Elephas maximus indicus: one gene and its partner. The protein of the gene in region 1 purifies or fractionates together with the protein of each later gene. This does not show direct contact. Links are inferred from orthologs where the notes say so. Each region holds a gene or a part of one and is shown in the gene's direction. Other genes may lie near its edges.

Region 1 (7,048 bases):
CTTCCTCAAGCTTCGTTAAAATTTGCATATGGATTTCAGGATGAACCCACTAGGAATTCAAGTTGAAATTCCACTGAGTTTATAGATTGGGCAAAGATATTGATTTTCTTTCCATGAACATTATACCCCTATTTAGATTTTTCCATGACTTTCAATAAAGTTTAGTAATTTCTCCACAAAGATAATGATAGATTTACTCTTAGGTACTATATATGGTTTGTTATTGAGAGTTGTTTTCTTTCTTTTTTCCTAACTACTATTTCTAATAACTTTTCTTTAATTTGGATATCACATACAGCAATCTTGCTGTGCTGTCTTAGTAGCCTGTCTGCAGATTCTCTTGGATATTTTACTTAGTCAATCATATCAACTGCAATAGTTTTTTTTTCTTTTGTAATACCCCTATTTTTTAATTTTTTTTTTGTCTCTGTACACCGACTCTGATCTCTAGTACAGTTTTGAATTCAGAATGAATGTCTTCACCTTGATCTCAGCTCTAGAAGTCATGGCATCTAATGCGTCATATTTAAATATGACTTTTTTCCCCTAGATTTTTAGCAGACATTTTTTATTAGATTAGAGAAGCATTATTCAGTTAGTGGTTTTCTAAGTTTTTAAAGCCATGAATGAGTGGTACTAAGCCACTTTATAACACAAAGCAGCTTGGTTCTTTAAGCCTGCCCACTTTTCTTGGAGGACTTGTTCTTATATTTGGAGATGCAGCTTGAAAGCCTTCTTCAGTCTTTGAACCCATCTCCTTTTCGCCTCCAGCCTTGCTAAGTACTTTCAGAGAAATCTATTTAGCTTAAATAAACTTTCATCGGAATGCTGTTCAGTCAACTTTGAATGAGAAGTTATTCCATTTTCAGAGATTAGGCCATTCACTGGAAGACACTGAGGGCCTCAAAATCACCTCTGGTCATCTTATAGATAGTTTGCAAAAGATCAAAGTCAAAAGCCCAGCTATGAACTGTGGTAACACAGTAGAGCCAGGGATAAATCTCTCTTAAGATCCTTTAAAGGCAGCATGAACATACTTCGACATTACATTCTCTTCAAGTCCTCACTCCTTTGTCAATGCATTTCAGAGCCAGTCCTGTAAAAAAAAAAAAAAAAAAAAAACTAACACAAAGGTACTCAAAAGTTTCCAAGTGGCTCAGACAGGATTTGAGTGTGGGTTTGCTCACATACGTGAAGGATACTACTTCCATCAAGGAAAAGACCTTTTGGTGTGTTATCGACTATTTATTGTGGGTAACTAAGGAATCAGGAAAAATTACTCCTGAGACTTATAAAAATAAAATGACATTTTACTGTTCTTCCCCACATTTTTGCTGTGGGAAAACACAGTGTTCAAAAGTTGGCTTTTCTTTTATTTCTTTCATTCTCTCTGTGCTCCCACAGTTACTGAAAAAGCAAACCAAACCCATTGCCATCGAATCAATTCAGACTCATAGCAACCTTATAGGACAGAGTAGAACTGCCCTATAGGGTTTCCAAGGAGCAGCTGGTGGATCTGAACTGCTGGCCTTTTGTTTAACAGCCAAGCTCTTAACCAGTGCACCACCAGGGCTCCACTACAGTTATTGGGGACATTTTGTTTTAGTGTTGTTGCTTTTTTTCTTTTTAAGACTAAATTAAAAAGGGAAGAATAATTCTTCAAACAGCTTTCAAGCCAGGCTAAGTCAATATTGTACCTGAGAAGGAAACAGCTAGGTTCTAGGAGAGTCTCCCCACCCCATGAAAGTACATTCATCATTTTTGGAGAGTTCTCATCAGCCAAAAAGCAATGCTTGACTACTTCACACTACATGCTATACAAGTCCTGAAAACATCAGAGCATCTTATGCAGGCATCATGCTCCAGGTGGACATCCATTTTCCTAGGTGTAACCTATTTACCGTTTGACTTCTGACACCTTTTTCAAAGTCATTTTAAAAGCCACAGGCTGCTTGACCGAACACCCCAAAGTATGTATCTCAGCTTTTACTGATTTCTTTTTCATCCTAAAAAGCTATATCCAGCTGTTTTGTGCTCTGAAAGTTATACACGCATACCACAACACACTACACTTCCCAAACATGTGGTAGTGGGGATGTATGGGGAAGAATCACTCCTTCCACAGGGCTAAGAAAAAGAAAGACCAGTTTGACAGTGGGATAGAGTCAAACCCAACTTTCGTGCTTATTTTTATTTTAAAAAAGCTGATTAATGACTCATCATGGAAACAATGTTATTTAAAAAGCATTTCTCAGTTGGCCTTCCCTTTTGAGTTACTTTCTACATAGGTCAGTTTTATGGTGTTTTTTTTTTTTTTTCTTTTCCTCTTTGTATTTCCTCTCTTTCGTAACTAGGAAAAGGTATTTGCCTTTATGATTTTTCACTTTGATACTTTTATCAGTATCAAATTCGTGAGCTCTAGATGGATATTAAAATGAAAGTGCTCTTCTGCTCATTTCGTCTACCAACAACAATTACAGGCACATTTAAAACTTCAGCTATGTCAAAAAGTGCGACTCTTCTATATATTCACTGGCAGATACAAGAGATCAGAGATCCCTCACATTAAACACAAAACTCGTGTTCAATCTGGTAAGTTTTCATCCCTCAGGAAACCTCCGGGCATCTACCAATTACCTCATACTTTCGGTGACCCATTAAAAACCCATTGCCATCAAGTCAATTCTGACTCATAGCGACCCTATAGGACAGCTGTTAGGAAAGCTGCTCCATACACAGGCTGCCGAGCACTGGAAAGCCGGTCCATATAGTGGTCAGTTAGTCCCCTTTCTTGCATGTATATTTTAGGTCAATAGCAAGTAACAAGTACCACCTGGTCTTTAGCCGCATTTAGCGCTATAACCAAAAAACCAAACCCGTTGCAGTGGAGTGGATTCCGACCCTACAGGACAGGGTAGAACGGCCCCATAGAGTTTCCAAAGAGCGCCTGGCAGATTTGAACCGCCGACCTTTACATTAGCAGCCGTCGCACTGAACCACTACGCCACCAGGGCTCCCTTTAAGACTACAGCGCAGGGAGATTCTTGCAAGATAATCTCCTTTATTTTGTTGGTGTTGACAAGGTACCCCAAAGCTGCATGCTGCATGTAATGGGCTTAAACCACTGGGCAGCGGGCTGAGCGGAGCGTGGTTTTGGGAGCAGAACGAACGCTCCCGAGGTCCCCGTTTTGCTCGTCGTCTCGGTCTGTCCTCTTCCACCGCCTCCCCAGCAAGCCCCTTCCGAGCACTCGGGTGGCGATGGGCCTTTCGTCACGTATTATAACACGCCGTTAAATCAAATAAACCACTGCCTCACAAGGTAGAGGTTAAGTTTTTTAAGAAGACTCTCTCTTTGAAAATTCCTGCGATAAAGTGAAACCTACAATATCGACTGCCTTGAAAACTTTCAATATTGAGAAGAAAAAAAAAAATCAGCGGGATAGCGAAGTTATCAACACTAAGCCTCTCGGTCTCCCTTTCATCTTGCCCACCAGCAGGCCCAGGCGCCGGCCCCGCGGCCCTTAGCAACCAGCCGGGCACGAAGCCCCGCCCCCAGGGAGGCTGAGACTCAGGAACGCGGGCGGCCCTTAGCAACCAGCCGGGCACGAAGCCCCGCCCCCGGAGAGGCTGAGACTCAGGAACGCGGGCGGCCCTTAGCAACCAGCCGGGCACGAAGCCCCGCCCCCGGGGAGGCTGAGACTCAGGAATGCGGGCCAACCTTAGCAACCAGCCGGGCACGAAGCCCCGCCCCCGGGGAGGCTGAGACTCAGGAACGCCGGCGGTCCTTAGCAACCAGCCGGGCACGAAGCCCCGCCCCCGGGGAGGCTGAGACTCAGGAATGCGGGCCAACCTTAGCAACCAGCCGGGCACGAAGCCCCGCCCCCGGGGAGGCTGAGACTCAGGAACGCCGGCGGTCCTTAGCAACCAGCCGGGCACGAAGCACCGCCCCCGGGGAGGCTGAGACTCAGGAACGCAGGCGGCCCTTAGCAACCAGCCGGGCACGAAGCACCGCCCCCGGGGAGGCTGAGACTCAGGAACGCGGGCCGCCCTTAGCAACCAGCCGGGCAAGCCGGGGCCCCCCCGCCAGGGGAGGCTGAGACTCAGGAACGCGGGCGGCCCCGCCCCCTGAGAGGCCGAGAGGAACGCGGGCGGCCCTTTGCAACCAGTCGGGCAAGCGGCCCCGCCCCCGGAGAGGCTGAGACTCAGGAACACGGGCGGCCCCGCCCCCGGAGAGGCTGAAAGGAACGCGGGCGGCCCTTAGCAAACAGCCGGGCAAGAAGCCCCGCCCCCGGGGAGGCTGAGACGAACGCGGGCGGCCCCGCCCCGCCTTTAAGCCGCCGCGGGAAGAGGCGCGGCCGGACGTGGGGCACGGAACGCCACGCCTCCAGGGGCGGGGCTGCCTCCGAGCCACCTCCTCCCTGCCGTCGGAGGGGCGGGGTCCGTGGTGACGTCACCTGGAAGGCCCGCCCCGGTTGGAGGGAATTTAGAAGTGACGCGGAGGTTCCGGGATGGAGGCGGAGTCTAGTTTCCCTGGTGACGAGTTGCCCGATGGTCGCCTAGCAACGGGAGGCGGCGGTCCTGGCGGCCGCTGCGCGGGCGGCGGAGGCCGGAGCCCTCGCCGGAGTCTCTCTGTCTGTCCTGCGATGGCTGCCGCCGCCGCGGTGGTCACGCCGTCGGGCCTGGAGGACGGGGTATCTCGGCCTTGCGGCGAAGGAGCCGGAGAGGTGGCCGTGGAGCGCGGGCCCGGCGCGGCCTACCACATGTTCGTGGTGATGGAGGACCTGCTGGAGAAGCTGAAGCTGCTCCGCTATGAGGAGGAAGTCCTGCGGAAGGACAGCCTGAAGCCCCCGTCCAGGTGGGTCCCTTCGCCCCGGGCGCCTGGGTGCCGGCCGGGCCCCGGGGAGGTGCCTTCCCCGTCGGGCCTGCTTCGGGCGCCGAGCGGGTCCGCGAGCCCTGCCTCCACCTTCCGGCCGGAGCGCGCGCGGGCAGTCACCCCGAAGCTGGCGGCCGAGGGCCCCGACTTGGCATTTTTGTGGAGCAACAGGTTTGGGAGCGGCAGGAAGGACTGGGAGACAGCCTTCCTGTTTAAAACATACACAGGCACCTCCAAAAAACGCAGGCTGTGTTTTACGGTTCTAAAAGGAATAAAAACATCCACTCTAGATAACTTAGAAAAGCACAAGAAACTGTGTGTAGAAAAATACTAAAATCACCCATAGTGTCGTCCCCAGAGACGGGTGCTGTTACCGTTCCGATCTCTGTCCAGTATTTGTTGTCCTCTCTGAGAACCGGCCCCTCCTACTACCTTGCTGAGCACTTTGTTTGCAGTTAGTGAGCTTGTTGACTGACTGCTGTGGTACTCTCAGAAACCGAAAGTGGGAAAGACAAAGAAAACGACAACCCCTGGAATTGTCCCCGTACCCTAGAACCTAAAGTTCAGCCCTTACTCTTGGTGGGCAAAGTTCGTCACATCCTGAAGGCAGTGCCGTTAGCTGCTGAAGGGAACGGACGGGAGCACTTTATCCTCCAATCGGGGTAGCCTGGCTGTGGCCCGACAAGAACGTTTTATAGCTTTGTCATCACGTTAGAGCTCACAGGTGTTTATCTTGTTGTATAACAGGTAGATTAGGAATCTTTAGCACTTCCTCTTAATACCTATAGGTAAACTCAAATAATTTCCCTTGACAGTTTCCATCTCATTCTTCTGCTCTCTTAGGACGCTTAATCCCCTTGACTGCACGGCAAGTGCTTTTCTTGGTTCATGCTAGGTAGGCTGGATGGGTACTGTCGATATTGCTAAGTCAGCTCTTAACGGCAGAAAAGTAGAGGGAAAAGAAGCAGTGTTGCTTGATCTATGATTTAAATTGTGGGATTGGGAGTTACTAGAATGAATTGATCAGGTTAATATAGACAGCTTATATTTTCTGTTAATCAAAATGATAACTTTTTTTTTTCCAAGTATATTTTTGAAGCTAAAGGAAAATGACCTCAAGATTTCTGTTGCTGTCAGCTCTGTACGGTTTCCTCAGGGGTTCAGCAGGATACTTTGAATCATGGATCCAAGCGGAGATACCCTAGTTCAGTGGCTCTAAAGTGAGGCCACCAGACCAGCAGCATCAGTCTCACTTGGGAACTTACTAGAAACGCACTTTCTCAGACCTGTTCCCAAGTCTACGGCATCAGAAATTCCGGCGGTGGCACCTAGCGGTCTGTTTTAACAAGCCTTCCAGGTCGTCCTGGTGTACACTTAAGTCTGAGAACCACTGACCTAGGCCTATCAGTACCTATTCTCTGTCCTCGAGGGATTATCCTGTAAGGAAAAGATGAGTTGTTGGTGGGTGGGTGCTTTGAAAGGGTTGTAAACACATACCTGGAAGGGCTTCATGCCCCCCCCCCCCCGCCCCGCTGCCCGGCTTTTTTTTTTTTCTCAACTATATGTTACCATTCAGAGCATTTACACCTATCGCAGGACAAAAAGTTGGGGAAACATGAAGAAGCAGGCTGCTGATTGTTATGAAAAGTGGCAATGATAACTATGATATAAACATAATAGTAATAGCTACAAATAAAAAAAGCAAATTAAGATTTTTGATCAAACTGACTCAAATGTTGTTGCTAACATGTTTTGTTCCACACATATTTAGGTGTAAATTATATTGATCTTCGTAGGACTGTTTTCAGTCGGCTAGGAGATTTAGCAAATTTCAACAAATGTTTGTTAGAGTGAGAATGAACTTCTTAAGCCTCTCTGTACCTTAGAACCATCTAGCGAGCTTTTAAAATACTGGGGCTCTGCTCCCAAAAGCTCTGATTTGATGCATTGATGAGGGAAGAGGCAATGTTTGGATGGGCATCAATATTTTTTATGGTCTCCTCAGGTGATTCAAAGGAGCCCAGTAGCACAGTGGTTAAGCACTCACTTGCTAACTGAAAGGTTGGAGGTTCAAACCACCAGCTGCTCCACGGAAGAAAGATGTGGCAGTCTGCTTCCATAAAGATTACAGCCTTGGAAACCCTATGGGGCAGTTCTCTTCTGTGTTGTAGGGTC
Region 2 (7,800 bases), on another chromosome or scaffold:
GCTATTTCACATGAGAAGGCCAGTAGCCTTTTTATCTTCACTACCCATGTTGGCAGCCCAACTCCTCACCATTCATTCTTCTGCCTCTTCATCAAACGTGGACAGAAATGGGACTGAGCAGTATCTTGGGAACTAATGAAAGAGCAGCTGTACAAATGGATCTCTTGGTGCCATGTGCTTCTCTCTGTGGATCCCTGCCCCTCTGTTTCCCTGCCTTCGTAAACTTGTGTCTCTGTCTCTGTTCAGTTGGTCAAAGTCACTAATAATAATTGTGAAGTGTAAATGAGTTTATATTCAGGCTCTGCCACTTTGTCCACAAGAGAATTCTGGAAATAAAACTGAGGGGTTTGGACTCCCCTGTGAAAATAATTCTAATTTGGGCTCTGACCCTCTGGGGCCTACTTGTTTCCTGTGAAAATAGAGACTGTCCTCGACTCTCTCCTAATTTCCAAGGGGGCTTGGTGGCAGTGAAAGAAATAACCCGTTGACATTTGTAACCACTGTGGAGGAAAAGGTTTCAGGAGCCAGACTCTGTTTGGACAGCTTTTGGGACACTTTCCAGAGGGTTAAGGGTCTCCCAATTTGGGATCATTCCAGAGGAGGTTTTATGAGTAATTCTCCTTTTCCGCCTCTGTCTCTCTAGTGTTACAAGAAATTAGACCAGTAATTCTGGAAAGGACTCTAGCTACACAATCCTAAAATTAAGAAGTCGCTATCTTTTTCTACTTAACCAAGCTTTAACTTCAGGTATCCCAAGACTTAACCTATCAGGTGAGCCAAGCTCTGGTGTGCCCTCCACCCTGAGCCATAAAGGCATCCTGATCTAAGGAGCAGTCTTCAATTCTCTGTCTCCCTATTTGGAAGTAAGACACTTACTTCTGCCTGGCCACCGGTTCCAGAACACTCTCCAGAAGACTGTGGACATAACATAATTTCTTGGGATAGGAGTGTTACAGGCTATAGTGGCATGGCATGGAAATAGGGAGCTAGGACTTGAGCCGGAATGTAAAGGATATTTAAATCCACCAGCTGTGGGTTGAATCCCCAGTTCAGTCCTTTCCTGGCTATGTTAGCTTGGAAAAGTGACACCCCTAATCCCGAGTTCCTGTTATGTAAAATGGGAATAGTGGTATTATCCCCTTCAAAACGTGGTTTTGAGATTAAATGAGGTAATGCATATAAAACACTTGGCATAGTACCTGGCAGACACATACTTAGTATTCACTGTTAACTACCATCTTTATTAGCCTTGTGATCCCGTGCAAGTCATATAACCTATTTGAGTTCAATAACGTCAACTATGAAAGGCATATAATAGAAACTGCCTTGCTTTCCTTCTGGGTTGTGAGGAGCAGAAGGGAACGCACTCAGCCGCGCGCAGTGCCCGTCAAAGAACGGGAAAAACTACGATTACGTAGGAGCCAGAGTTCGCGAAGCCTTGTGGGCGTGGCTTGGTCTTGTAGGTTGCAAGCCGTGACGGGATTGGTCAAGGAGAGGGTTCATCACGCCCCCTCGCGGGCCGGCCCCAGACCTCATTGCGCTTGCGCACGTTCTATGTTTTCGCGACGAACCTACGTGTTGACCTTGCGACGGGTGTTACGCTCTGGTCGCGTCTCCGTCAGCGGCTGTAGCTGCGGCTGCGTGGCGGGTTGTCCAGGTAACCGCAGGGGTTGTCGCTGTCTGGTGGCATCTGAGAGACAGGTGTTCGTCATGCAGCTGAAGCACCTGAGGACCCTGCTGAGCCCTCAGGTGAGGAGTTGTGCGCCTTTTTCTTATGCCGCCGCTTTAAGATCCTAGAAAAGTGGGGGAAGTGAAGTTTAAGGATGTTGAGCTCCTACTGTGTGCATAAGACTATGAAGGGTATAAGGATGATTCGAACTCTGCTCTGTCGATAGTATTCAGTAGGAGCTTGCGTACGAGGCCCCCGTGCTGGGCCTGTTAAAAAAAAAAAAACCGAAGTTATTCTTCCTAACTTCAAAAGGCTCATACACAGGGAGAGGTGCACATGTAAACAGCGAACATAAATCTGCACAAAATTAAACAAGCGCGATATAGAGGGAGTGCAGAAAATTGAACGGTACGTTCCAATGGGGAAGATCTCAGGATTCAGAGAAGTCAGGGCACTAGCGGAGGAACCCTGAAACCTGGTGGTAAGAAGCTGGGTTTGAGGGTTAGGAAACCCGACATCAAGTCCCAGTTCCACCGCCTTTTTAAACAACTTGATCACTCTGACTTTAGTTCTTACTGCATAATTGCTCTGAGCACTCACCCAGCTTCTTTATTTGGCAAATGGGACTAATAATAATAGCAGTCGTAGGAGATTTGGGGGAGAATTAATTGAAGAACTTTGCAAACTAAAAAGCAGTGTGAAAATTGATAGACAAAAAAGGAAGGACATCCAAATTGAATGGACAAAATAATGCTCAGCTAATAAGATTAATATCTGCCATTGTTGTTAGGTGCCATCCAGTCAGTTTCGACTCATAGAGTGACTCTGTGTACAACAGAACAAAATACTGCTGGGTCCTGTGCCATCTTCACGATCATTGTTATGCTTGAGCCCATCCTTGCCTCCACTGTGTCAATTAATCTCGTTGAGGGCCTTCCTCTTTTTCACTGACCCTCTACTTTAGCAAGCATGATGTCTTTCTCCAGGGACTGGTCCCTCTTGATAACATGTCCAAAGTTATCTGCCATTACTGAGTGCTTATTATGTACCAGGGCAGCATCAGTAAAGAAGTTAGAATTGTGGTCTGTGGAATTAGACATACATGGATTTAAATCTTGCTTCTGCCGTTTAATAACCTTGGGCAAATTACTTGACCTTTTTGCCTCAGTTTCTCCACCTATAAAAGGGGATAATAATAGCACCTATCCCAGAGATACAGGTTAAATGAGATAATGCATGTCAAGCACTTAGCAAAATACCCAGTCATGCTAAGTACTTGTTAAAAGTTAGTTGTTATTATTATTCTATCCCGTACCTCATTTAATCCTCGCGAAAGTTCTGTGGGGTACAGACTGCAGAGAAAGGAGAATTAATTGATTATGGAAATCAGGAAAGCTTCACAGAGGATGTGGCATTTAGAGACTACAAGGAAATTAGAACAAAAGAGAGATGTGCTCATTTCTCAGTAAACTGCACCCTGAATCTGTAATTAAAAAATTCCTTTACCCTAATGGAACAACTGGAAATGAAATTGTCCTTAATCTTTCAAAATAAGATGATGTCATGATGCAGCGTAGGCTGAATGCCCAGGATTGGGCAAAATGCTGAAGCAGGACTATCAGCAAAAGTTGTTGAGGAGCCCTCAGCCCTTCTAACCTAATGTAATCAAGAGTTGAAGAATGGTAATGGTGGTGGTGTGACTATTTTCTGACTCTGTTTTGAAGATTTTGATGAAAAGAACCTTAAACTTCTGACTCTGGAAGTTGGCAATAAAGGGGAAGATAGCAGTATGTTAAGCCAGTGCTGTGCAGCCAATTAATCACAGAATTAGAGCAAAAGGTAAAAAAAAAAAAAAATAAAAAAAGTTTTAAAGGAGGGAAATCCTTAGTGGCAGAACCACAGAGGACTAGGGCTGGTGGTGGGAAGAACAGACATGATGTGAATAATTCATTGGGCTCCTGGGAAGTGAATAGTTTAAAAAAAGTGGCATTGTCCATCCTAAGCCTCAATTATGGTTATTTTACTCCCCACTCCAGAAATTTTCACTCTCTGCTTCTTTCCTGCCAAATAAGCCCTAGTTTTCCTGTTTTACCTCCTGTATTCTCCTATTTACAGCACAGTTTCAGCTAAACTAAATTACTGCTTCTTGACTAGAACTTGCTTTTGCTGATGCTCAGATAATTTCTCCCACTCAACTGCATCCATTCTTCAATGGTAATTGATCAGTTAAATATAAAATTATCTCAGACTTAACCCAAAATATTATAGCGTTTTATATGTACCTCTTGTGGGTCTTTTCCTGTTCGCACCATCTTAGTAGATCCTAAACCCTTTAAGGGTGGGGATGATGTTTTGCTCTTTATATCCCACTCAGCCCCTAGCCAAGTGCCTCTCTCAGTAAGGTGCTCAAAAAATATTAATTGAATGGCTAAAGATCAAAACTTATCAGGCCAATTGATTTATTTCAATAGTCGAGGAAACAAGAAGGCCACTGCAGAGACGCCTTGGTACAGTTGAACCATCACCTCTTAGTGCATTTGCATTATGGGCCACTGGAAGCATTCTCTTCTCTCAGTCCAGTGTCTGATGGCCTTGGAGACCAGGATGGGCTGCAGGTTTCTCTCTGTTTTATGGAAGGACCACGGCAGGAAGAAGATTGGCGAAGTCACACCAGAAGTAATGGAACTAGGAATATTTCTGGCATTCTAGACCGGTACCTGGGTTTACTTTTTTTCCCTTTGCCTCTGCAGGATGGTGCTGCAAAGGTCACCTGCATGGCCTGGTCCCAGAACAATGCCAAATTTGCTGTTTGTACAGTGGACCGAGTGGTGTTGCTCTATGATGAACATGGGGAGCGGAGAGATAAATTCTCCACCAAGCCAGCTGACATGAAGGTGAAGAGAGTACTCCTGTGTACCTTAACCTGTTGATGGGACCTCTCAAACCTGGAAAACTTCCTAACCCACTTCCTAGCCCTGGGCATAGGAAATGGCCCACCCCTCCTCTTCCAGGATACTTCCCTCAACCCCACTGTAGTCACACATGCACCATTTCTTCTCCTTTCTCTATAATGTACACTCATTACTTTTTTTTTTTTTTTTTGACTCTTAGTATGGCAGGAAGAGCTATATGGTGAAGGGCATGGCTTTTTCTCCTGATTCCACTAAAATTGCCATAGGACAGACTGACAACATCATCTATGTCTACAAGATTGGAGAAGATTGGTGAGGCTAGAGACTGAGAGATGGGGTGGCTAAGAAAAGAAGGGGAAGGCAAGAGAAATGCCTCACTGGGGAGGAGGAATAGAGAGGATGAGAAGCCAGGCTTGGGCGTGGAAGGCCGAGACTTTCTGCAGTCTACTGTGTTGCTTCTCTGCCGTTGCCTGTCCCACATGTTCTGCAGTTCCGTCCCTGGAGGAATCAGTCTAAGATCAACAAGGAGGCCCTGTGAGATCCTGGGGAGCCCAAAGTGGTGTTGTGTCTTTGTTATTGTTCTAGAGCTCTTATGTGTCCTTTCAGGGTTCCTACAGAATGGTAGGAAACACTTGTGGGCCAGGGAAGGTATCTCGCCTTTCTTCCCTTACCCCAGCATCATATTTGGGAATTCCTTTATGGAAGTGGTTTTTAACATGCTTTCCTCCCTTTTATCTGGCAGGGGTGACAAGAAAGTCATCTGCAACAAGTTCATCCAGACGGTAAAGTGCAGACCAATCCCTGGAGATTAGGGTGAACAAACACGTGTCAATATATCTGCTTACCCAAGTGTTGCATTTTCTGTCTGTGTCTGACTTTTCATATGGCAAGGATGGTGGTGACTGGCTGCTCTTCCTATTCTGCTTTCCTCCTCAGAGGCCAGTTGAGGAGACTAGGGTGGTGCATGTGGTGAGGTAGTTCAGGGGGTTAGAAATATGCTAGTCCACACAAACAGGGTTATCCTTTTTACTATTTCTTTCATACAGAGTGCTGTTACTTGTCTGCAGTGGCCAGCAGAGTACATCATTGTCTTTGGACTGGCCGAGGGGAAGGTAAAAAAGGGAAGGAAACACAGGAGAGGTAACGGGTAGGGCAATAGTTTTGGAAAGTAGTTAATCATCTCCCTTAGGGTCAAGTTGTGTACTGGGAGAGCGTACACAGGGACCTGTTTTGTTTTGTTTTTCTTTTCCCAGGGCCTAAATGATATTGAAAGTAGCCTAACCAGCCTTGTGTCCATTTTTTCATTTTCAGGTTCGTTTAGCAAACACTAAAACTAATAAATCGTCTACCATCTATGGGACAGATTCTTATGTGGTGTCATTGACAACAAAGTGAGTAAGGAAGAGTGGTATCACAAGAGCTTGGAAATACAAGAAAAAAGCTATAGGAAGTCTGGACTGGGAGATCATAGTGTGAAAGATGGGAGCGGGGAGGATTGGTAGCAGAAACCACAGTAGGGCAGCGTTTGGCAGAGAAAGAGGATTTCCCTAGTGAGACAGAATAATCACTTTCTTGTATTTCTCTCCTCTCCTCCTTTTCCCCTCTTGCTTTTTTTAGTTGCTCTGGGAAAGGAATTCTTTCTGGTCATGCAGATGGTACCATTGTTAGGTATTTTTTTGATGATGAAGGCTCTGGAGAGTCACAGGTATGAGTAAAGGATGTTCTGGGATAGGGGATGAGGAAATGCCAAGAGCCTGCCTCGAGGAGGTGGGCTATCTGAGGAATGTAGGCTGAGGTGCTGAGGGTAGGGAGGCTAGACGAGTGACATCTTGGGGAGGGCAGTGGGATGGGGCTGATTGGATGCAGCCACAGAGAGGACTTGTGTCTAGGAGGCCAGAGCTTAATATTCATGGGACGAGGTGACTCCAGCGGAAGAGACCTTGAGACAAAGGGAAATAAAGACTGTTAGGGGAATGAAAGGTGAAAACGATTCCAATTTATGTAAAATATATATTTATGTGTAGAAATTGATAGGAAAAAATTTAACAGTTTACTCTCGAGAGAAAAAAGGGAAAGGATAAGAGATAAAAGGGAACTTTTGTGTTTCATTCGGTATAATTCTCGTCTGAATAATTTACATTGAGACTTACTTGTGTAATAATTAGTTAAATTTAGCTCTCTTTAAAAAAGGAGCCATTTGCTCTCTGTGGGCCTAGACAGTGTTGGTTGATGTATAGGAAGTCTCCCTTTTGGGGGCCTTACTCGGTACAGATTAAAGATCTTCCAACACACAGGTATGTTGGCGTTTCCTCTAGAGCAGAAGGTCAGTAAATGTTATATATGACATATGTATATGTGACGTATACGTATTAGTATGAGACAGTTTGTGAAGCCTTCAGGAATTAGGATTAGGAATTAGGAAAACGTTGGGAGGAAAATTTCTGCAGGGTAGAATGGTGAGAGTGAGTGTGTGGGGTGCCAGGAATGAGGAATTTCCGAGGAACAGTCCTCAGAGTCAGAATGATTGAAACCCTCTACTTCTGTCTTAGGGGAAGTTGGTTAACCACCCATGCCCACCCTATGCCTTGGCTTGGGCAACGAACAGCATCGTGGCTGCAGGCTGCGATCGGAGGATTGTGGCCTATGGAAAGGAAGGCCATGTGCTACAAACTTTTGATTACAGCCGTGACCCTCAGGAGCGGGAGTTCACCACAGCTGCAGCAAGTCCTGGTGGCCAGTCTGTTGTGCTGGGGAGTTACGACAGGTGGAACAACTCGACTTACCAGTCGCATCTTCTTCGTGCTTTTCTTGTATACGCCCTGTGCTTTAGCGCAGTGGTCGTCAACCAGAGTGGGAGACTGAGTCAGAATCAAGTGTATGCTGTAAAAGATTCTCAGGAGATTTTAATTCACTTTTCTTTTCGTGCTCCTGTGGTCCGTTGGCCCATTGGCCCACTGGTAGTCCCAAAATGCACTGTGCTCTTGTTTTGTCTCTGTGCCTCTCCCTAGGATTCCACGGTAGAATTTATCACCACCTTCTTTGTGTTCCTGTTGCCCTCCTTAACAGACCACTGGCTTAGTGTTTATCACATTATGTTACAGTTTCAAGGTTGTGTCTGTCTGGGTAAATTGAAGAGTCTTTGAGAAGAGAGCTATCATTCAATTTTTTATCTCGAGATTAGTACCTGGTATATAATATATACGCACATTTTTGGTGAAT

The links. The genes of interacting proteins can lie anywhere in the genome.
Region 2: the proteins of IFT57 (region 1) and IFT172 purify together in Homo sapiens (affinity purification with mass spectrometry; 3 studies listed by BioGRID and IntAct, counting the BioPlex papers as one, with this or other methods). This does not show direct contact. The link is inferred for Elephas maximus indicus from reciprocal best matches to the Homo sapiens genes IFT57 and IFT172.

Annotation. Positions count from the first base shown.
Region 1 is NC_064836.1:80,387,017-80,394,064, reverse strand, and holds the start of IFT57 (intraflagellar transport protein 57 homolog), read left to right. Parts: upstream 1-4,047; 5' UTR 4,048-4,508; coding exon 4,509-4,855; intron 4,856-7,048. UniProt on the Homo sapiens protein: Required for the formation of cilia. Plays an indirect role in sonic hedgehog signaling, cilia being required for all activity of the hedgehog pathway.
Region 2 is NC_064830.1:45,974,245-45,982,044, reverse strand, and holds the start of IFT172 (intraflagellar transport protein 172 homolog), read left to right. Parts: upstream 1-4,893; 5' UTR 4,894-4,913; coding exon 4,914-5,363; intron 5,364-5,627; coding exon 5,628-5,693; intron 5,694-5,892; coding exon 5,893-5,972; intron 5,973-6,198; coding exon 6,199-6,286; intron 6,287-7,130; coding exon 7,131-7,345; intron 7,346-7,800. UniProt on the Homo sapiens protein: Required for the maintenance and formation of cilia. Plays an indirect role in hedgehog (Hh) signaling, cilia being required for all activity of the hedgehog pathway.